Linked DNA regions of Sus scrofa. The protein of the gene in region 1 interacts with the protein of each later gene in a pairwise test. Links are inferred from orthologs where the notes say so. Each region holds a gene or a part of one and is shown in the gene's direction. Other genes may lie near its edges. The genes, in order: PIAS4 and SMAD7.

Region 1 (11,736 bases):
TCTTTTCGGGGTGACTGATAGAAATGTTTTAAAATTAGAACATAGTGGGAGTTCCTGTTGTGGTGCAATGGAAACGAATCTGACTAGTACCCATGAGGATGCAGGTTCGATCCCTTGCCTCATTCAGTGGGTTAAGGATCTGGCATTGCTGTGAGCTGTGGTGTAGGCTGTGGGATCTGACATGGCTCAGATCCCACATTGCTTTGGCTGTGGCATAGGCTGGCAGCTGTAACTCCAGTTCGACCCTTAGCCTAGGAACTTCCATATGCCAAGGGTGTGGCCCTGAAAATAAATAAGTAAATACACAAATAAATGACATTAGAACATAATGAGGAGTTCCCGTCGTGGCGCAGTGGTTAACGAATCCGACTAGGAACCATGAGGTTGCGGGTTCGGTCCCTGCCCTTGCTCAGTGGGTTAACGATCCGGCGTTGCCGTGAGCTGTGGTGTAGGTCGCAGACGAGGCTCGGATCCCGCGTTGCTGTGGCTCTGGCGTAGGCCGGTGGCTACAGCTCCGATTCAACCCCTAGCCTGGGAACCTCCATATGCTGCGGGAGCGGCCCAAGAAATAGCAACAACAGCAACAACAACAACAACAAACAAAAAGACAAAAAAAAAAAAAAAAGACTAGCATAATAAACTATTATATTAAAAAAAAAGAACATAACGATATTAAAACTCATTAAATTGTACCACTTAAATCTCTGACTCTGTCCATTTCACCACATCCCCTCTGGCCCCCACCCTGGTTCAGGATCCTATCATCACTTGCCTTGGTGACCGCACCAGCCTCTTCCCTGGCCTCCTGCTTCCACTGCAGTTCCCCAATATCCACTTTTCACAGCTGCCAGAGAGATCTTTGCAAACAAAATTATAACTTATCATGCGGGCTGGTTAATTTTATGTATCCACTTGGCTGAGCCCTGGAGGCCTAGATATTTGGTCAAATGTTACTCTGGATGTTTCTGTGAAGGGTTTTGGGATGAATTGATGTTTAAATCAGTGGACTGTTAGGTAAAACAGATTCCCATTCCTACTGTGGGTGGGCCTCATCCGATCAGTTGAAGGCATGACTAGCACAAATAGACTGATCTTGCCAGGAGATGGCCTGCAGACTTGAGCTGCAACTTCAGCTATTGCCTAGGTCTAAATATTCAAGAGCAATTTCAATGTACTTGTTCTCCTAGGTGATCTTGGTGGGTCACTTAACCACTCAAGACTGATTTTTTCATCTGTAAATTGGACCCAATAATGGTACACATTTCATAGGGTTGGTGTGAGGATGAGGTGGTAACATGTTAAATGCTTAAGACATAGTTGAACAGTAAATATTAGCTGGTATTATTACCATCAGTAGCATTTTGGTGATTTCTGTGGGAAGTGGAATTGCAGGTTGAGTAAACCTAGCCATTTTCCACACTGGCTCATTTTTCCCCCTTTTTGGCCACGTGCATGGCATGCAGAAGTTACTAGGCCAGGGATGGAACCTGTGGCATAGCGGTGACTGGCACCACAGCAGTGACAATGCTGGAACTTAAACCAGCTGAGCCACCAGGGAACTCTTGCATAGGAATTTTATTTTATTTTTTATTTTTACTTATTTATTGGTTTTCACATTTTTAGTGGGGGCCACTGGGGAGGAGGCCTCTCTTACGCTGTCAGTGGAGGTGCTCACAGTTTCTTCAGCCACTCCAAGCTTGGGCCCCGGGGGTCCCAGGGGTGGCTGAGCACTTAGGCCATGTTCCCGTCATCTCTGAGGGGCACTGGGTAGTTGTAGGGTGTGACCTGGTTGATCATAACAGCATAGCTGGTATAAGGGCTGAGTACAGGCAGAATTATAGCAAGGCCCCAGATGGTGAAGGATGACACCAGCACCGACCCTTCAGCTCAGGCATTTTTCAGGAAGGCAGCAATTCTCACTGCCATCTTGGCAGTGGCGGCGCCCCCCAGCACATGAATTTTTTTTTTTTTTGTCTTTTTTTAGGGCCACACCCGCAGCATGTGGAGGTTCCCAGGCTAGGGGTCTAATCGGAGCTGTTTTGCCAGCCTACACCACAGCCACAGCAACACCAGATCCTTAATCCACTAAGCAAGGCCAGGGATCAAACCTGCAACCTCATGGTTCCTAGTCAGATTCGTTAACCATTGAGCCATGACGGGAATTCCCTCCCTAACATCTTAATATTAAGCTAGACAACCTAGGGAATAGGAGTAAACAGTTGGGAATCATATATCTGATGAGAGATTAATAGTAAACTTACAGCTCAACAACACAAAAAACCTCTGTTTTAAAAATAGGTAAAAGACTTGAATAAACATTTTTATCAGTGTTGCATGAAAGGAGAGGTTAGCACTCTCCTTGACGAGGATGGAAGAGGCCCTCAGGCCTAACAACATGCATTGCCACCTACTTCGTGGCATCTAACTATGGTTTTTAATGGAAAAAATAAAAATCATTATAAATGAGGAAAAAAACACAGAAGATATACAAATGACTAATAAGCACATGAAAAAAATGAGAATCCTAATCATAGATTTAGGGAGTTAAAATCAAACCCCAGTGAGATACCATTGCATACCTATTAGAATGGAAGAAAGGAAGGGCCAAATCTATCCTGACAACTGTTCTTTTTTATTTTATTTTATTTTATTTTATTTTATTTTCCCACTGTACAGCAAGGGGGTCAGGTTATCCTTACATGTATACATTACAATTACAGTTTTTCCCCCACCATTTCTTCTGTTGCAACATGAGTATCTAGACATAGTTCTCAATGCTATTCAGCGGGATCTCCTTGTAAATCTATTCTAGGTTGTGTCTGATAAGCCCAAGCTCCCAATCCCTCCCACTCCCTCCCCCTCCCATCAGGCAACCACAAGTCTCTTCTCCAAGTCCATGATTTTCTTTTCTGAGGAGATGTTCATTTGTGCTGGATATTAGATTCCAGTTATAAGTGATATCATATGGTATTTGCCTTTGTCTTTCTGGCTCATTTCACTCAGGATGAGATTCTCTAGCTCCATCCATGTTGCTGCAAATGGCATGATGTCATCCTTTTTTATGGCTGAGTAGTATTCCATTGTGTATATATACCACATCTTCCGAATCCAATCATCTGTCGATGGACATTTGGATTGTTTCCATGTCCTGGCTATTGTGAATAGTGCTGCAATGAACATGCGGGTGCATGTGTCTCTTTTAAGTAGAGTTTTGTCCGGATAGATGCCCAAGCGTGGGATTGCAGGGTCATATGGAAGTTCTATGTATAGATTTCTAAGGTATCTCCAAACTGTTCTCCATAGTGGCTGTACCAGTTTACATTCCCACCAGCAGTGCAGGAGGGTTCCCTTTTCTCCACAGCCCCTCCAGCACTTGTTATTTGTGGATTTATTAATGATGGCCATTCTGACTGGTGTGAGGTGATATCTCATGGTAGTTTTGATTTGCATTTCTCTTATAATCAGTGATGTTGAGCATTTTTTCATGTGTTTGCTGGCCATCTGTGTATCTTCTTTGGAGAAATGTCTATTCAGGTCTTTTGCCCATTTTTCCATTGATTGATTGGTTTTTTTGCTGTTGAGTTGTATAAGTTGCTTATATATTCTAGAGATTAAGCCCTTGTCAGTTGCATCATTTGAAACTATTTTCTCCCATTCTGTAAGTTGTCTTTTTGTTTTCTTTTTGGTCTGACAACTGTTCTGAACAGCCCTTGAGCTAAAAGTGTTTCTCTTTTCAGTGTCTGAACCAAAATTCAAATAATATTTCATTATATGTAAAAATTCTATAAAATTCAAATTCAGTGTTTAGAAATGAAGGGATTTTTGTTTTTGTTTTGCTTTTTAGAGCCGCACCCAAGGCATATGGAGGGCCCCATGGTACGGGTCCAATCAGAGGTACAGCTGACGGCCTACTCCACAGCCATGCCAGGTCTGAGCTGCATCTGCAACCTATACCACAGCTCACTGTAACACTGGATCCTTAACCCACTGAGTGATATGGATCAAACCCGAAACCTCACGGTTCCTAGTTGGATTTGTTTCTACTGTGCCATAATGGGAATGACTAAAATGAAGTTTTATTGGTACATGACTATGCCCACCGAGTTGAGTAGTTGCTACAGATGCTGTCTGTAGCTTGTAGAGCTGAAAATACTTATTATCTGGATCTTTGCAGAAGATGTTCGCTCCTAATTCAAAAGTGTCTGGCATATATTAGGTTTTTGATATATGGAGAGATTATCACTGAATATCTGCTGGAACAGTCTGATGCAGTTTATAACCGTGTGGAGAAGGTCAGACCTGGATTAAGATTCTGGTGCTCGAAGTTCCTGCTGTGGCACAGCGAATTAAGGATTCGATCCCTGGCCCAGGAACTTTGATGTGCCCCAAAATAAAACATTGTAAAAAAAGTAAAACAAAACCCTGCAGAGTCAGAGTTTTGGGTGAGGTAAATGAGTTATGGTGAGGTGAGGGAGGTATTGACTGCAACTGCAGAGTTAGATTCTCTCTTAAATTAGTATTTTCTTCATCATGGAGTTTTTTTGCATTAATTTTTCTTTTTCTTTCTTTCTTTTTTTTTTTTTTTGTCTTTTTGCTATTTCTTTGGGCCGCTCCTGCGGCATATGGAGGTTCTCAGGCTAGGGGTCCAATCGGAGCTGTAGCTGCCAGCCTACGCCGGAGCCACAGCAACGCAGGATCCAAGCCGTGTCTGCAACCTACACCACAGCTCACGGCAACGCCGGATCGTTAACCCACTGAGCAAGGGCAGGGATCGAACCCGCAACCTCATGGTTCCTAGTCGGATTCGTTAACCACTGCGCCACGACGGGAACTCCTGCATTAATTTTTCTTAAAAAATATTGCACAGGAGTTCCCTAGTGGCCTAGTGGTTAAGGATCTGGCAATGTCACTGCTATGGCTTGGGTCGCTTCTTCGGTGCGGATTCAACTCCTGGCCTGGAAAACTTGCCATGCCCTGAGGAACAGCCAAAAAAAAAAAAAATATGTATATATATCTCTCACATATATCACACAAACATTTATCTTGATAACAGGGTCATTTGGGGCACTCAAATTTCGGCTAATTCTTGCCCTGATATTTATAATGTCAAGGGATGGGCCCTGAAATACACAGTTTTGTCCTCTTTCTTCCTGCTTTTGATACAAGAAACTTTGAGCTCTGTGGCCCGCGAGCACTGAGGAGCCACAGAGAGCTCTTGAGCAGGGGAGTTTCCGGTTAGTGCAGATTCCAAAGGTTTACTGTGGATGGGGAGCCAGAACTAGCGAGAGGAGTACGCTTACGGGTGTGAGGGATGCACGAGCTCCGGGAAGTGGGCAGGAGGTCCCGCATTTCTCCGCCGGGAGCCAACTAAGTGGGGGGCGCCGCGCCCGAGCCCCCTCTGCCGAGCCAGGACCCGGATGTATAGCACGCCTGAGGCTGCACAGCGCTGCTCTGCAAGGCGCCTCGCTGCACGCATTGGCAGCTGCTGAGCCGGCCAACTGTCTTCTCCCCGCCCCCACGCCACCGGGCGTCCGGTCAAGCACCTGGCAGCCGCCTCGCACCGGGGACCCGCAACACCTTGCTGCATTGTTGTCGCCTCTGCTATCTATTCCCTCCCAAGACAGGACCCAGCACCCACCCCTACCTGTGCGGCACTCGTGCGCCTTTAAGAAGCTAGACGCAGCCAGGGGTGGGCGTGGTCGCCGCGAGCTAAAGAGGGGGGCGGTGTCGGGCCACCCTGATTGGCCCGAGGCCCGGGCGGTGGCCGCGCGCGCCTGCGCAGTGCGCGGTCGCGCGCGCCGCGGGGAGGAGGGCGCGCGGGTGCTAATTGGTCGCGGCATAGGCCCCGCCCGCGAGTGGAGGGCAGTCACGTGACGCGACGGCTGGGGGCTCCCGGCGCGGGGGACGCTGGTGGCCAAGATGGCGGCGGAGCTGGTGGAGGCCAAAGTGAGTGAGCGGCCGCGGCGCCGGCCCGGGAGGGTGGGGGGTGCGTGGACCGGGCGGCAGGCCGAGGTCTGCGCCTTCCGCTCGGGGTCCTGAGACACAGCCCGCTCGCACCTCGGCGTCCGGCCTCCTCGCCCGCCCCTGGTCCCCGGACTCCGGGTGCGGGCGGGGCGCGCGGAGGCCGGGGGCGGGGCCCCCGAAAACCTCACCCCACTCTTCGCCCTGGGGGGTCGGCCCCTGGGCTTGAGCTTGGGGTCCCCTTCTCCAGCTCGAGCGGTTAGGTTACCTACAAATCTCCCTAAACACGGGCACAGGGCCGCGCCTCCCAGCTTGAGGCACAGTCCCCACGGACAGCTTCACGGGCTGAGCTGCTTGTCTTCTCGTCCCAAACAGGGGTCCGCGCTCTTTGGCCTTTGGGATTGTCTGCGCGTCTTCTCTCCCGCCATGGCTGCCGTCAGGGTCTTAGCCTCCTCGCCCCAGCCGACTAGCCGACTAGACTGGGGTTGGCTACTCCTTGCTCAGAAGGGTCCCCTGACTCTTCTGCCACCGCTTGCACCGTCCGGAGTGATGAGCTGGGGTCCTCAATGTCCCTCAAAAATAGTGTGTCTCTTGGGGTCTGTACGCTAAACTGGTGTTTGGGGCCCTGTTCAGCTCCTGCTCTGGTTCCAGAACCCCGCCTCCCTCCCGACACCTTCCTCACCCTGGAGTGGGCTTGGTGTTAACTGAGTGTGCCCCCCTGGGATGGAGCTCTGGCCCCTGTGTCCAAGACCTTCCCATCTCTCTCCTCTCAGTCTTCGGTTCTGAGCTCTGCCTTCCTTCTCCCTCTTCCCCTTTAGGACAGCATCTATGCCCTTTTGGACTACTTCTGGGGGTTCTAGTCCTCACCCTTGCGGGATCAGACTCTTATTTCCCAACCTTGGCTGTTTCCTCTGTATTCTACTTCATTGTGGATCTACTGCTCAGATCACACTCCCTTTCCACCTAGCCCCAGAACCCCTGCTTTTGCATCCCAGCTTTGGCATCTGAGGCCCCTCTCTCTTTCTTCTGGTCTCTCGTGTTGGTCCTTGGAAGGTCTCTGATTGACTGCAGGGTAGGATTTTTTCTGTAGGGTAGTTCCTAGTGCTTCTCTGCTGTATTCCTGTTTGGGGTCCAGGTTCCACATCCCATAGATACCATCCCTTCTCTTAGCTTAGGGTCCTTTTTAACCCTCTTGGGACTAAGCTGGAAGCATCAGTTTTCCAGAGATGTATTTTCTTCAAGGTAGCCTCTCTGAGGTGAGGCTCCAGAACTCTTGCCCCTGACTGCACGAGACTTCTTCTGTAAGAAGTTTACTCAAGGCCACAGGTCTCAGGGATGTAGAGGGCAGGACCTTTGCAGAACTGAGGCACCCCCACCCCTCTGGTCTGTCCTCCCCAGGGTCTTGACCTGTAAATGTTTTCTTTCCCTTTCCTTACATCTCCCTTCCCTTCCCACTGGGGTCTGAAATGAAGCCCTCAAGGTTCTGTGATTATAGGGTATTACCCTCCCTTCACCCCTGAGCTCCCTCCCCCTGTACCTAGAACACATGCTTCTGCTCCTCTGGAATTTTGAGAAATTGAGTACCTGCCCTAGAGATGTGCAAGCCCAAGGCAGCAGCCTGCAACCTGAAGTCCCCTGGAGCCCTGAAATTTAACCTCCTCTGCTGTGGGGTTTTGGCTCTGGGCTCCCGCCGATCCTCCAGCCAGAGAGTGGGGTCTGAACTCTTATACCATTCAGGGCCTTGAAATATGATCTGATGAACTCTGCTTGACCCTCCAGTGGCTGCCCCCCCAACCCCAATTAAATCAAGTTGACCCTTTTTCTTGTCTTTTGTCTTTTTTTTTAAAGCTGCACCCACAGCGTATGGAGGTTCTCAGGCTAGGGGTCTAATTGGAGCTATTGCTGCCGGCCTACGCCAGAGCCACAGCAACGTCAGATCCGAGCCGCATCTGCAACCTACACCATGGCTCACGGCAACACCGGATCCTTAACCCACTGAGCAAGGCCAGGGATCAAACCCACAACCTCATGGTTCCTAGTCGGATTTGTTTCCGCTGCGCCACGACGGGAACGCCTTATAATTTTTTTTGTCTCTTGTCTTTTTTTTAGAGGACCCTTTTTCAAGTTTTCTAAAATGTGAGCCTCCATTCAGGGGGGCTCACGACTGCAGCATAGCTTGCTCTGATTCTAGGGAGACTTCTTTTTCCTCCAGTGCTTTGCTGTCACCAAGAAGTGCTTACTATACGTCTCATTGAAATATCTCCCTCTTTTAGGAGCTTTCTCACCCTTTTGTAGTGAGAACCAGAGATTTTGTCTTTTGGAGTGCAAAATGGGCTGGTTCGAGGGGAGGGTGAAGGGGGCTTGTTGATAAACTTGGAAATCTGAGACTCTTAACCTGAGACGGGGTGGTCTAGAAAGTCCCTGAGAGGAGGGTGCGTAGTAGTTTGCACGGAGCTCTGATTTCCTGGAGAGAGGAGCCCCTAAGTTGAGCACAGCTACTCTATCAAGGCTGTTGTTTCTCTAGGCAGCTCCAAAGGAGCCTAGAGTTGAGGCTCTGGAAGCTGCTGGGGCCTGGCGCTGTTTATAAACACAGATCCGAGGGGCAGGGTCAGTATGAAGCCACAGCAGGAAGTGTTCTGCAAAGCGCTTGGGGCTTCTTCCTGAATGTTTGCACCCTGCTCGTGCGCCCCCCCCCCCACCAGTGTCAAGGGCAGGCTCCTGGGTGGTGGCAGCTGCTGAGAAATACGAGTTGTGAACATATGGCAGTTTGAGGGGTGTGCCCCAGGATGCAGGAGCAGGAGGCGGCTCCGGATGTCCAACCTGGTGGACGGGGTAGGTGGGGGCAGGGGCTCCCAGGGGCGGGGTGACTCCAAAAGGCCAAGCCCACCTGCCTTTGACTCCATGGCCAGTGGTCAGCTTCCACATGACATCGCCTCTCCCCTTGAGTGCTTTGGGCCTCTTCCAGAAGAAACATCTTGTCTGCAATCTTTTCTTCTCTCCTCAAGGTGGGAAGTCAGGCCGAGGGTGGTAAAGCCTCTTTGTTTTCAGAGTGTTCAGACTCTCCAGCAGGCTGCTTAGGGCCCTGTGAGGGGGTGTGCTGGGGATGAGGGGCCCCCAGGCAGCTGGGTGTGAGTGGAAGTAAGCAGCTCAAGGAACCTGATGGTCTCAAGTCCAAATGCCAGCCCTGCTGTCCACACTCAGGAAAGCCTTGGGTCAGTTGCTTCCCTCTTGGAACTTCAGTTTTCTGACCTGTATAGTGGGCATGAGTCCTTGTGAGCATAGTGACCGTGAAGGCCCTTATGCTTGCCATTGGCGGACACTCAGTGTCTGCAGTGCAGGAGTAGAAAGAAGATCCTACAGCAGGAAAAGTGTCCCCCTCAAGGCTTTGCTGGCCAGGCAACCCTGTAGGTTTGTTTGTGTCATTTTGAGCCCAGCACACCCCTCTGCTACCAGCAGAAGCCTAGTGCTGTACATCTGGAAGGGATGTTAGTCAGTTCCCACCTTGACTGAAGTGCTGTGAAGCTTGGCAACAGGCCAGGGTCACCTGGGAACCTAGGGCAGAGTCTGAACTTAAACCCAGGGCTCCTGAGCCCCAGGGCCATCATCAGATTCCATGGCTGACTCTTAAGCTGCCGGAAAGCAGCAGCCTTCTGGCTTTGAGGCCACTACATGAAGAGCCTGGCAGGTGAACCGCCTACCTCTGACTGGCAGACTTTTTTTAGTTGAGTTTAAGTGATTTATTGTTTTTTTGGGGTGCTATGCTGCCCCAGGCATGTCAGCTTTCCACATCCACTGTTGTCGATTGTACTTTTTATTTTTCCCTTCCCCCTAGAAGTTTCTTTTCCCCATTACATTTCACTCATCACAGGCCAGCTTCAGGGCTCAGCATGGGTGGCCCCCAAACCCTGCTGGCCTGTCTCTCCAGGATATGTTGCTTTAGTAGCATATTGGGGAGCCCAGAGTGTCACTGAGGGCAAGCTACCACCAGTTAGTTTCACTGCACTCTTGTGTTTGGTTTGACTTCATTGGAGGGGCCCTGCGAGGTCATCACCTGCCTCAGCCCAATTAACAGCATCTATGGCTGCTGGATCCTGGTGCCTCTGTCAGCCTGATTTTGCCCCCAGGGGACACTTGGTGATGTCTGTGGGACTGGGGTTTCGGGTACTCCTGGCATCGAGTGGGTGGAGCCAGGGATCCTGCTTCACACCCCACCTTGCCAGGGACGGCCCCATCCCAGAGAATGATCCAGCCCTGGCATCCACGGTACTGGGGAGGAGGCATGCTGGTGAGCCCCGCAGACGCTTTGATGGCCTCGACAGTGCTCAGCTCTCTGTCGGTGCTGGAGCAGCCTAGTGGGGAGGAGCCACCCCTAGCTTCAGAGATGAGTTTGGATCTTGTTCCTAATTGGGGCTCACTCCAACCTGGTAGGAGTGTTTGAAGGATCAGAGTCAAGTTTATAATCACACAGCCCGCTCAGTCCCCTTCAGGTGAGTTGTGCCTAAGGAAGTGGTGGCAGCCGTCCTCCAGAGCAAAGGGAAAACATGTTTTTTGGCTGATGTTGGTTGAGCACCCACTCTGCTTTGCGTGAGTCACCTCATCTGGTCCTTTCCACATCCCAGTGAGGTGGGCCTGTTGTCCTCCCTGATGAAGAGACTGAGGGTCAGAGAGGCCATCGGTGTTCTTGGCTGGAGAGTAGTTAAGTCTGTTTACAGGGAACCAAGATTCCCAGGTCCTGCCCTGGAGATGCTTTTACGCTTGAAGATGAGAAAAGAAAGAGGACCTAAAATAGAAGTAGTTTGTGGGGGGAGCAGTTAGAGGAGCTTTTGCTGCGTTGGCGATGCTGAGGAAGGTTGGAGGAGGTGGAAGGGAGCAGGGCTGGGCTGGGAGGGGGCGTCACAGGGAAGGGTGAACTGGCAGATTGAGCACGGGCATGGAAGTGGGACCAGGCATGGGCCAGTGGGACGGGTACCAAAACTGCTGCCTCCTCCTTGGGGGGCTGGGCTGGCCAGCCGCTGGCAGGGTCTCACTTCACCGTCCCTCCACTCAAGGCCCAGGCGGCCCCTCACCCTGGCAGCATCTCTCTCTGAGCCTTTTTGTCTGTGGTTGCTCTTCTCAGAACATGGTGATGAGTTTCCGAGTCTCCGATCTTCAGATGCTCCTGGGTTTTGTCGGCCGGAGTAAGAGCGGACTCAAACACGAACTTGTCACCCGGGCCCTCCAGCTGGTTCAGTTTGACTGTAGCCCTGAGCTATTCAAGAAGATCAAGGAGCTCTACGAGACGCGCTACGCCAAGAAGAGCTCAGAACCCACACCCCAGCCCCACCGGCCCCTGGACCCCCTGGCCATGCACTCAGCCTATGACCGGGCCAGCTCGGTGCCCAGGACTCCCCTCACGGGCCCCAACATTGACTACCCCGTGCTCTACGGGAAGTACTTAAACGGACTCGGACGCTTACCTGCCAAGACCCTCAAGCCGGAAGTGCGCCTGGTGAAGCTGCCCTTCTTTAACATGTTGGATGAATTGCTAAAGCCCACAGAGCTGGGTGAGTCCCTGCTGTCCCTGGGGGAGGCCCACCTTTTGAGTTCTCCCAGCACCAGAGGCCAGCCACGTGGCCAACCCGGAGCGTTTTCTGGGGAGTGGGAAGGGCCAAGAGGCTGTGAGGGGATTACCCCTCCCAGGAAGCACAGGGACTACCTTTGGGTCCTTGAACTAGGGACCTATTATCACATGGGCAGGTTACCCCAAATCCCAGTGGCTTGAAACAGCTAACACCT
Region 2 (10,570 bases), on another chromosome or scaffold:
GTTTAAGTACCAGCGCAGAACTATTCTCCCACCTGGGGTGGGGTAAGGGGGGCGAAGAGTGTGGTCAGCGTTTTCCGAGCGTTCTCGAACCTAAGAGATGATATGCCCCCTAAGAGTTGAGAGTTTCCAGTGAAGCTGCAGCTCAGGCCTGGCCCTCTGGCTGCTTTTCATCACATCACAACAGCCGGTGAGGCTGCCATTGTGAGCTTCATTTCAAGGATGAGCTCAAGTCACTGCCAAGGTGCCCTGGGGAAGCAGGTTTGAGGAGGGGGTGTCTGGTTCCATAGCTGGTCCACCCATGAGGGGTGGGGCTCCCTGAGGAGTGAGACTTGGGAAGCTCAGCTGGTTGGGGCCAGGGCACCTGAAGAAGCACCCTGGCTTCTGAAGGCAAGAACCTGTGCCACCCCCTGCCTGCCCCCTAGCCCAGCCACCCGGACCCGCATTGCAGAGCTCTGAAGGAAAAAAAAAAATCCAACTTTTCCATCCTGCTTTCTACCAGCCAGAATTCATTCTCCCTTCCATTTGTCCAAGGAGCTCAGGTGGTAGTGATGGGTTGGATCTGCGCATTTTCTGGGTAACAGAGTTAACTGAGAGTGAGGTTGTTTCACCCCCCACACACACAACCCGGGTTGCTTGCTCTGAACCCCAGAGCTGTCTTTGCTCCCCCGACAACCCGAGGGAGCGGCGGTGGCGTCATTGCTTGTGTCCCGGATGGGGTGGCAAACGTGGCTGAGAGCTGACCCCGGAGCCCAGACGGAGCCCAGACACCCCAGCCTGGTTTTATGTTTGCTTTAGTTTTTTCGGTCATTTGCTTCCTGAAAACTGGAGCCCAACAAGAGTCTTTGTTAATTGTATTTGAGATGAGAGAGTCGATAGGACGGAGTGGTACCGAGTCCTTTTATCTCAGTCCTTGTCCCTGAAGTGGGCCGGTTGCTCTCAGAACAGCCCGTTTCCTGACCGGGGTGGGGAGCCGGGCTGACGGGTGCTGTTAACCTTTGAGATGAGTGATGGAGGGGGCAGGACGGATGAGGCAACCGTGGTGGCGCCGGGAGTCCCGAGGAGGGAGGACCCTGGACCTGAGAGGGTGAGGCGTGGCAATGTTTGCGTTCCAGGGTTGTACTTCTGAGTCTGCATTTGTGCCCTTCGTTTGCCCTCATCAGCCTGCGTGAGGCAGTCATTTCCGCCGGCTCCACCCCAGCCGGCTGCTGTGCAGGACCACTGGGGAAGGGGCTCGAAGACCCACCCGACTGCTGGATAATGAGAGGGTTGGATAAAAGAAGTAATCCCTTGGTAATCCAAGCGCCTTGCAGAGATGAGATCGGGTTGAGACCCACCTCCCTTTGCCCATCTTTTAGTCCAGCCACCTTGAGCCCTGGCCATGGGGCTCATTGGATTCCGAGGGTGCGAGCTGCTGTGGCCCCATCTGGGCTGGCTTGGTTTCTCAGTTGTGTCCCTGTCCTGAAAAGTCAGGATCTCAGGGACCCCCTCCCCATCAGCACCCCCTCTGTGTGTAAGCTCAGGTCAGACGGCCTTACTTCTAGTGTTCTCAGAATCCCACTGGGTGTCTTAAAACAGTTCTGCCTCTCTGGCCTCCTGGTTGCCTCCTTAAGCTGAAGACCAGAAATAGTACTATTGAGGCCCTGAACTTGGCCTTTCCTCCCACCCCCACCCCCAGGTTTTTTCTTCTTCATTGCCTCACACCTTCAAATACAAAAATTTTAAAGGGGGAAATATCTCTCTTACCTAAATTGGGGCCTTGAGGTCTGGTCACCCTGTGCCATTGAGATCCCAGGCAGGAGATTCATTCATGAGCCTCTGGCCTTCTAGAACGGTCTGGTCTGTTCATTCATGACCAGGGTAATTAAATAACTCTTTGTACGAGGTCTCGTTAAGTGGTCTTCCCTAATGCAAGTGCAAACACGAGGCGAAATCCTTCCCCTTCTCCACCCCCGCCTCCCCCTTTCCTTTTAAAGGGTAGATTTTATGCTTTAAGGGAAATGGGGAAGGGGAGGGGGGAAAACAACCTGAAAGGAATTTTAGGCCGATTCAGCACTTTTCTGGGGTTGCTCCAAAAATTCCCTAAACTGTAATAAAAAGAAAAAATTGTGAGCAGGCATCTGATTAGCTAGCTTTTTACAACACAGCTTTTCTTTTGGATGAGTTAAAATGCACAAATACAGTTTTAAAACAAGCCCCTGTACAGTTTTCTGAGGCGGGAGAGAAGAAGTTGTTGGAAATGCCGGAAACGGTTATAAAAGCTGAGGGAAATTAACAAGGGACTGCGAGTTTTTGCCTTTGGAGGCTGAGAATCAACCACCATGATACGAAGGCGCTTCCTTAGTCCTTGTAATCAGGGGGACTTTTCGGGGCGAGATCCTCCCAGCTGCTCACCTCAAGGAGGCCTGGGAAGCCCCTGGGAGCTGGGCGTCAGCACAGACCTTTGTGGGGAGATGCTAGTGGGCTGTGGGCCCAATTTAGGGAACTGATTCTCTGAAGATGTCGCTGCATGCTTCCCAGAAATGAGCCCAGACGGCAGGTCGTTCAGGGCAAAGGAGGGAGCCCTGCGTACCAGGCCCCCAGCAGCGTGCCATGTAAAAGGGACCTTCTCTCTTGCACTGGTTTTGCCTGAGAGCCTGCTTTTTGGCTCAGATAAAGTCAAGGAGGAGCAAAAGAAAAGAGATATCAGGGTGCTAGGGGGCTGCTGGGTGACATGGGGGGGGTCCTGCTGCCCCCGATTAGGGCACCAAGTGGGCTTTCAGGGGCCTTATTCACATCCAGGGACACCCACACGCTGCTGTTTATCTGGGCTGGGCCATTAACCTCAACAGCAAAAGGCTTTTTCCAGGGGATGTCTGGCAGCAAATTGCTGGGTGGACTGGCGGGCAGCACAGATGAAAGAGAAACCCGCCAGAAGGCCCCCCCCCTTCCCCTCCCCTCCGCTGGGCGACCTCAATCCTCTGCCCCCGCCCAGCTTCCTCAGCCCACAGAGGCCCCCCATCCCTTGTCTGTGGGCCTGGCACCGGGGCAATTTGATCCCTAGGACCCTGTCCTCCTCCTCCCCCTCCCCCTGCCTCACCTCCCTGCTCCAGCGGGTGCCAGGTTTCAGGGGAGCTCCATGAAACAAAGTATTGTGAGGCTCCCCCAAGGGTCTCCCGAACCTTCCTCCCAGCAACTCTCGAGTCTTCCTTTCCAGGCCAATTTGTTGTCCCGAGTTGGGAGCATAAGCGATAGCTTATATTTCCAAACACCCTCCCCGCTCAGACAGGCAGGCAGGTAAGGGCTTTCTCCTCCCTCAGCAAACTTGGCTGCCAGGACATTTTTATTTACATGGATGTTATGGGTCTTTGGTGTAGCCTTCAGAGCTGAACTCCCTCGGCAAGAGGGTTCAAAGATTGCCAGCGCTCGCGAGTTTATTAGCAGTTGATGGATACTTTGCAGAAACAAGTTAATGCCTGACGAGTCACCTTCAGCTTGGAGCCCTGGTCCCTCTCGTTTTTCCATATGTTCCCGGGTGTGTGCTTGCAAACACACACACACACAGAGCACACACTCGAAGTGCGTTCACACTATGCTCATGGACACAGCCTCTCCCACACTTGAGCTTTAGAGATGCATGGGGGACGCAGGTGACCAAGTTTCTGGTGTTGATATTTCATGGGGTTGGGGTTGAGGGGAGGAAGGACCCCTCAGCTTTCCCCATTTTTGTAGCTGTCCCAGCCGGTGGGGTGTCTAGGGGATTGCCACTCAGGGTGGGTGTTGGTGGCTGCCTCGATGGGTAGTACATTTGTACAGACTTATTCATACATAGGATGCCTCCATGCAAGACTGGCTGCTGCTTTAAAAAAAAAAAAAAAAAAAAAAAAGTTAATGGAGCTGCCTGGTTTGGCTCCCAGGCCCGAACATGCCTAGAAACGTTGGAAGGAGTTGGCATGCTGAGCTGCCCTGGCTCCCCGGCCTGCGGGGATGGCGGGATGCGGGGCCTGAGCCCTCCTCCAACCCCCAGCCGCTGTGCCATATAACCCATCATCGCTTCCAAAAATCAAAAAGGCCTAACAGAGCAAAAGACACCTCCCGCCAACCCCTGCCTTCAACCCCAAGCCCCCCAGTAACAGAGAAGCAGGAGCTTACAGGGAGGGCGGGAGGAGGGCTCTGCCGCCGGCCCTGCTCTCCCCTGCCTTTCCCCATTTTTGTTAACAAATACAAGACTTCCGGTCTCCGCCCTGCCACCACAAACCGCAGCGTTCCTGCAGCCCGGCTGGGCTCGGGAGATTTATGGCTCCCAGTCTGAGGCCTACCCCGCCGGCTCCAGCTTGAGGAAGAGTCGGAATGCCAGCCGCCGGGGCCCCCTGGCTTCCATATATCCTCCCTTTTAAAAGACCTCCAAGCGCCTGTTCAGGAAAAATCACCTTAGCAGACTCACCCCAGCCTCCCCTGCTGGCTGCCGTGGGAAGAAAGCACGTCTAGGAAAGCCGGGGTGGGGCCTCCAGGGGCGGACAGAAGAAGGAGGGGGAGGACACCCAGTCTAGATGCTTCTGGGGAGGGAGGGGGAGGAGGAGGAGGAGGGTTCCCCCCCGCCAAAGGCATGGTTGTACCCACTTGAGACACACAATCTTCCATCTGGGCCGGAGGTAGTCGGGGCTGACACCAAGTTGCATGTTGTGACTTGGCGTGTTGACAGGAGCTCACCCTTTGTGTACAGAGCTGCCGGGGACAGACACACTGAGTTGTTTTTCTATTAGGAAGATAGGTATTTTTATCCCAAGCCACCTCCATTAAAGTTTCCCCCAGACAGTGCTCCCTGATGACCAAGGCATTGATCTGAGGACTGGGTGACAAGCACAGAGACTGTTTAGCAGGTGGTCCTGGGGTCAAGGTCTGGCTGTGTCATCCCTGGGGCCTGAGCAACAGACTTCCTGAGGCCAGGTTTTCTCATGAGGATGACAAGGGGCTGGAGCAGCTGGCCTGCAAGGTTCCATCCAGTTTAAAGGACTATAATTTTAGACCTGTCTAGAAGGCCTCTCCCAGCCCTAAAAGTAAGCCCTCCAACTAAGTTACTAAGTGGTCCTGGCTTCTGATTCTGCAGGGATGGGGCTTCCACTGGTAGGGTTGGTGTCCTGGGTTCCTGATAGGATGCGGGGGAGCAGAGGGATCAGGGACCCCCATGCTTTAGAGGCCCCGCTCTTCCATCACTGGGTTAAGATCTCCAAGCCCCCCATAGGGGAACTGTACAGCCTGTGGCACATCCAGTGCCCTATCATCTCTTTCTGTCTTGCACTGAGAAACAGTGGGCCTGGCGGCCCAGGAGTGCGGATGTGCACGTCATCTTGGTTTGGGAGGAAGAGGAAAATGCCAGTCCCCATCATCACCCACCATGTCTGCCATTTTGTCTTCTAGATTCCCAACTTCTTCTGGAGCCTGGGGATCGGTCACACTGGTGCGTGGTGGCATACTGGGAGGAGAAGACGAGAGTGGGGAGGCTCTACTGTGTCCAGGAGCCCTCCCTGGATATCTTTTATGATCTACCTCAGGGGAATGGCTTTTGCCTTGGACAGCTCAATTCGGACAACAAGAGTCAGCTGGTGCAGAAAGTGCGGAGCAAGATCGGCTGTGGCATCCAGCTCACGCGGGAAGTGGATGGCGTGTGGGTGTACAACCGCAGCAGTTACCCCATCTTCATCAAGTCAGCCACACTGGACAACCCGGACTCCAGGACGCTGTTGGTACACAAAGTGTTCCCCGGTTTCTCCATCAAGGCTTTTGACTATGAGAAAGCGTACAGCCTGCAGCGGCCCAACGACCACGAGTTCATGCAGCAGCCGTGGACTGGGTTCACCGTGCAGATCAGCTTCGTGAAGGGCTGGGGCCAGTGCTACACCCGGCAGTTCATCAGCAGCTGCCCATGCTGGCTGGAGGTCATCTTCAACAGCCGGTAGCCTCGTGGGGGAGAGGACAGAGCGGGAGCCGAGCGGGCCCAGTCCAAACTACTTTGCTGCTAAGATTTTCCTCCTGAGTGCTTGCTTTTCATGCAAACTCTTTGGTCATTTTTTTTTTCCTTCCTCTCGTCGTTCTTGTTTATGTTATGTTTTGTTTTGTTCTTTGAGAAATAGCTTATGAAAAGAATTGTTGGTTTTTTTTTTTTTTTTTTTTCCTCTTCGGGGCGGGTTGGGGCGGGGGCAGGGGTGGGCAGTGGTAAGGTTGGCAGAACACCCAGATCTGAAAAGGGGAAGCAAAAATCAGTGCCACCAAACACAGTGTAAATGGGGAGCAGGCCCCAACCTTGGGGTCATCGTAGCCCTTAGTAGGGCTTATGTGTGAGTGAGTGTGTGCGCGTGTGTGAGTGTAGATGGGGGAGGCGGTGTGCTCTGTGTTGTTAACTACGAATGCTCCCAAGCTGTGTCTCTAGCCCCTTGCACCTGCGCAGTGGGGCAGCAGGTCTCCCAGCAGCTGCCAGCAGCAAGGTTGTGTCCCCAGCCTGTGGAAGCCCCCCTGCCCCTCGCCACCCCTTCCTAGGACATTGGCCTGTCCGCAGGCTTCTTCGAAGCAGCTCTACAAGAAGCCGAACCAGAACCTATTTCCCATGCTGTCTCACTCGCCCCCGCCCCCTCCAGCCACCTCCCTGCCATCGTCCTTTCTCTTTTGGCCACCTGCTCCTGGATTGTCTCTGAGATGGACTTCCTGAGGGCTGCCGGGGCAGCCCCATTACAGTATTGCTCACCCAGTGCCCTCTCAGGCCCCTCAGCCTCTCCCCGTCCCTGGTTACATCAGGTTTTTCCTGGATTCAGAAAACCAGCTCAGCATTTTCCTTCCCTCCGCAGCCTGTGTGCTGAGCTCTGCTGTTAGACCAGTGAGGGGAGCAGCACCCCCCTGCCCCCCGCTCCCCCTTCCCACCAAGAAGGATTCGGTCCATTGTAACCCAAGGTACCATCCTGAGCTGACACCCCTAACTCTTCTCATTTCTTCTACAACTCATACACTCGGATGATACGTTGACACTGCTCTTAGCTCAATGAGCATGTTTAGACTTTAACATAAGCTATTTTTCTAACTACAAAGGTTTAAATGAACAAGAGAAGCATTCTCATTGGAAATTTAGCATTGTAGTGCTTTGAGAGAGAAAGGACTCCTGAAAAAAACCTGAGATTTATTAAAGAAAAAATGTATTTTATGTTATATATAAATATATTATTACTTGTAAATATGAAGACGTTTTATAAGCATCATTATTTATGTATTGTGCAATGTGTATAAACAAAAATAAAGAAAAGATGCACTTTGCTTTAATATAAATGCAAATAACAAATGCCAAATTAAAAAAAGATAAACACAAGATTGGTGTTTTTTTCTATGGGTGTTATCACCTGGCTGAATGTTTTTCTAAAGGAGTTTATGTTCCATTAAACAATTTTTAAAATGTATACTTGATTCCCTTGTTGTCTTCCAGCTCCTTTTTTTTCCTGGTAGGAGGGGAGTGGGGAGGTGCAGAATCCAGGACAGTTGGTGTCTCCTCGTGCTTGGTTGGGAGGAAAGGGGGGGACCACAGAAGGGAGAAACATCCAAAAGAACTTGGTCTTCTCTGAATGCTAGAAAGAGCCATACCTGCACAGATAGCACCTTTCTTATAAGGCAGTAACCCTAGAGTGTAGTTGGTGGGTGTCCTGAATTTGTCAACCTCAGGGAGCCCTGAGTTACAAAAGCAGGTGACTTTTTTCAAAGCTTGAAAAGTTGAGTTCCTGATGTACCTCAGCAGGGTAAGAACCCAACTATAATATCCATGAGGATGTGGGTTCCATCCCTGGCCTCCGTGGGTTAAGGATCTGGTGTTGCTGCAAGCTGTGGCATAGGTTACAGATGTGGCTCTGACGTGGCACTGCTGTGACTGGTGTAGGCCGGTGGCTGCAGCTCTGATTTGATCCCTTGCCTGGGAACTTCCATATGCTGCAGGTGCAGCCTTGAAAAAAAAAAAAGAAAAAAAATCTTGAAGAGCTTAGTAAAGAGAGTTTCATTTTGAATGATGGGCAAGGGGAAGAGGAGGTATAGTCCTAAGAACTTGGGGTCCATCTGATTCCTGCTTGCCAGCTCCTTGCTGTATGTTCAATCCTGACACTACTGCACCTTTCCCTGAGGAAGGTCACTGCCACAATGGGTTCCAGGACAGCTTCCCTGAGGGCTGAAGCCCTGGAGTAGAGATGAGGCACAGGCTGTGCTGGTGGTAGGAGGAATCGGCCACCTGGGTCTGCGAAGTTCTGTACTGCACACTCCGAGAGGACTGAAAAGAAGTCTAGCTCCTACACTGCACTCTCTCCAGTTTGCTGTTCCCTTGACTCAGCCCAGCCCCAGTGGCACTTGCTGGTAACCTACCTCTTCAGAACTGCCCCTGGGATTTCCACTGCTCTCTTGATCCACTCCTTGATCTGATCCACATTTATTTTATTTTTATTTTTTTGCTTTTTGGGGCCACACCCATGGCACATGGAGGTTCCCAGGCTAGGGGTCCAATTGGAGCTGCAGCTGCAGGCCACAGCCACAGCAACACCAAATCCAAGACACGACTGCAACCTACACCACCGCTCACAGCAATTCCGGATCCTACCCCACTGAACAAGGCCAGGGATCAAACCTGCAATGTCATTGATACGCTTCAGGTTCATTACCACTGAGCCACAATGGGAACTCCCTGATCCACATTTTAGATTCAAGGCCTTTTGTGCAAGAAATGGGTCCAAACTGGGCACCCGATTAGGTGCTTATGTCAGGGGGTCTTGAACCTTAGACCCAGGAAGGGGCTCTCTTAGAAGTGGGGCTTAAGATTTTGGATATCACAAACCAGTACAATTTCAGAAAACGTTTTTTGGAGGGACCAAATAGGATCACCAATTTTTCATTTTGCCAAATGACACCATGCATCACAGCCTACCGGCACCACCATTTAATTCGCAGGAATTGTCATCCACTTGTGTACTGAGAATGTTAATACCTGTTGCTTTATGACCCAGAGGTTAGTGCCACATGGTCATCTTGGCCAGCTTATTCACAAGAGGTGATGGGGAGCTCACTACCTCCTGTGGCAGCTTTTTATCAGTTAAACTAAAACCTGCCTCCATTTATTCTAGTTCTGCAACCTAGAATAAGCGTAAAATCCCATGTCTGGAAAACACCCAAGGAGGGCTCTAATTAACTCCCGGGTGGTAGCAGTGGAGGAGGGGCGGGGTGGAAGGTGTTACATTAGGGAGCTGTCAAAGGCATTTTCCTTTGCTCTAACTTGCATCAGCATGCCAGGAAGCTCTTTAATAATAATAATAGCTACCATTTATTGAAGGCTTAGCTGGTTGCCAGGCATGGTGTTAAGAGTTTAAGGGAATTATTTAATCCTCACTAGGACCCCCTGCAAAAATGGAGGCTTTGGGAGGTTAAAAGATTGGCCCAAGGTCACTGGGCCAGGGAGTGCAGTTTTAGGGGTGGGGGGGATTGGGGGCCGACTCTGGTATCACTCCTTGGTCCATACCCTATAGAGACATTATTTGATGCAGTTTGTTGGGGTACCGGGGGCCCCATATTGTTTGCTCTGCATGCTGCATGGGCAGAACCTCTGGCTCTGGAGGCAGGAGCTATGGGAGCAGCACATTCCCACCTGCCTCAGTCACCTGGACTCAACTCTCAGCCCCATGAGGTTAGAACTGGTCTGAGTGCCTGTGGACCCCATGGGGTGGCTGGCTCTGGGTTAGGGAAAGAGGGATACTTAGGGAAGACCCCAAGTTTGCAGAACCTGGTCCTGAGCCACCATAACCAGGGGCACCCCCCCGGGAACCTCCGAAGTGCCGGGGTTGCTGTAGGGAGCACCCAGGTCTCGGTGGTGCTGGGGGACAGGCTGCCCACACCAGACAGTGGCCAGCAGCACAGATGGAGGGGCGCGTACCCCGGACCACACGGAGCTCAGAGGAGCGAGGACCTGCAGCCCAGGTGAATGTGGATTAGCAGAGGGCAGGAGGGGATGCCCCGTTGGAGGGAATTCTCCTGCCTCCTGGTTCTCCTTCCTCTCCCAGCTCACCAGTCAGGTTTGGGGGTGTGTCATAGGCTTCTGCCCAGGGCTCTCTTCTCAGGCCACACCCTGTCCTCGGGGTAACATCGCTTCTACTCCGGTGCCTTCATCTCCCCCCACCTGTGGATGCCTCAGCTGCTCTGGCCAGAAGCCAGATTCTCCCACCTCCCTTGCCCCATCCCCCACCATGACACAGAAATCCAGATCCCTGCCTCATTCTACCCATAATTATACAACGCAAAGCTTTCTCACGTATGGGCCCCTGCTCTCTCCCCACTAGTACGATTGAGTCCAGGGCCTTCTAGTGACTCCTTGGCCTTCCTTCCTCTGTTCCAGGTGCCCTTTCAGCATCTGCCTCTGCCAGCCTCACCCTTTAACACACACATACTCACGCAGACACGCAGACACACAATACATACATATATAGACCCACACATACACACGCATAACACACATGCAGACACACAATACACACATACACCCCATAACATACACACGCACACACATATACAGACACACACACACGATACATAA

Evidence for each region.
Region 2: the proteins of PIAS4 (region 1) and SMAD7 interact in a two-hybrid assay, tested with the Homo sapiens proteins (2 studies listed by BioGRID and IntAct). The link is inferred for Sus scrofa from reciprocal best matches to the Homo sapiens genes PIAS4 and SMAD7.

The regions. Positions count from the first base shown.
Region 1 is NC_010444.4:74,723,894-74,735,629, reverse strand, and holds the start of PIAS4 (E3 SUMO-protein ligase PIAS4), read left to right. Parts: upstream 1-5,837; 5' UTR 5,838-5,919; coding exon 5,920-5,946; intron 5,947-11,077; coding exon 11,078-11,504; intron 11,505-11,736.
Region 2 is NC_010443.5:98,509,645-98,520,214, reverse strand, and holds the end of SMAD7 (mothers against decapentaplegic homolog 7), read left to right. Parts: intron 1-5,394; coding exon 5,395-5,933; 3' UTR 5,934-7,415; downstream 7,416-10,570. UniProt on the Homo sapiens protein: Antagonist of signaling by TGF-beta (transforming growth factor) type 1 receptor superfamily members; has been shown to inhibit TGF-beta (Transforming growth factor) and activin signaling by associating with their receptors thus preventing SMAD2 access.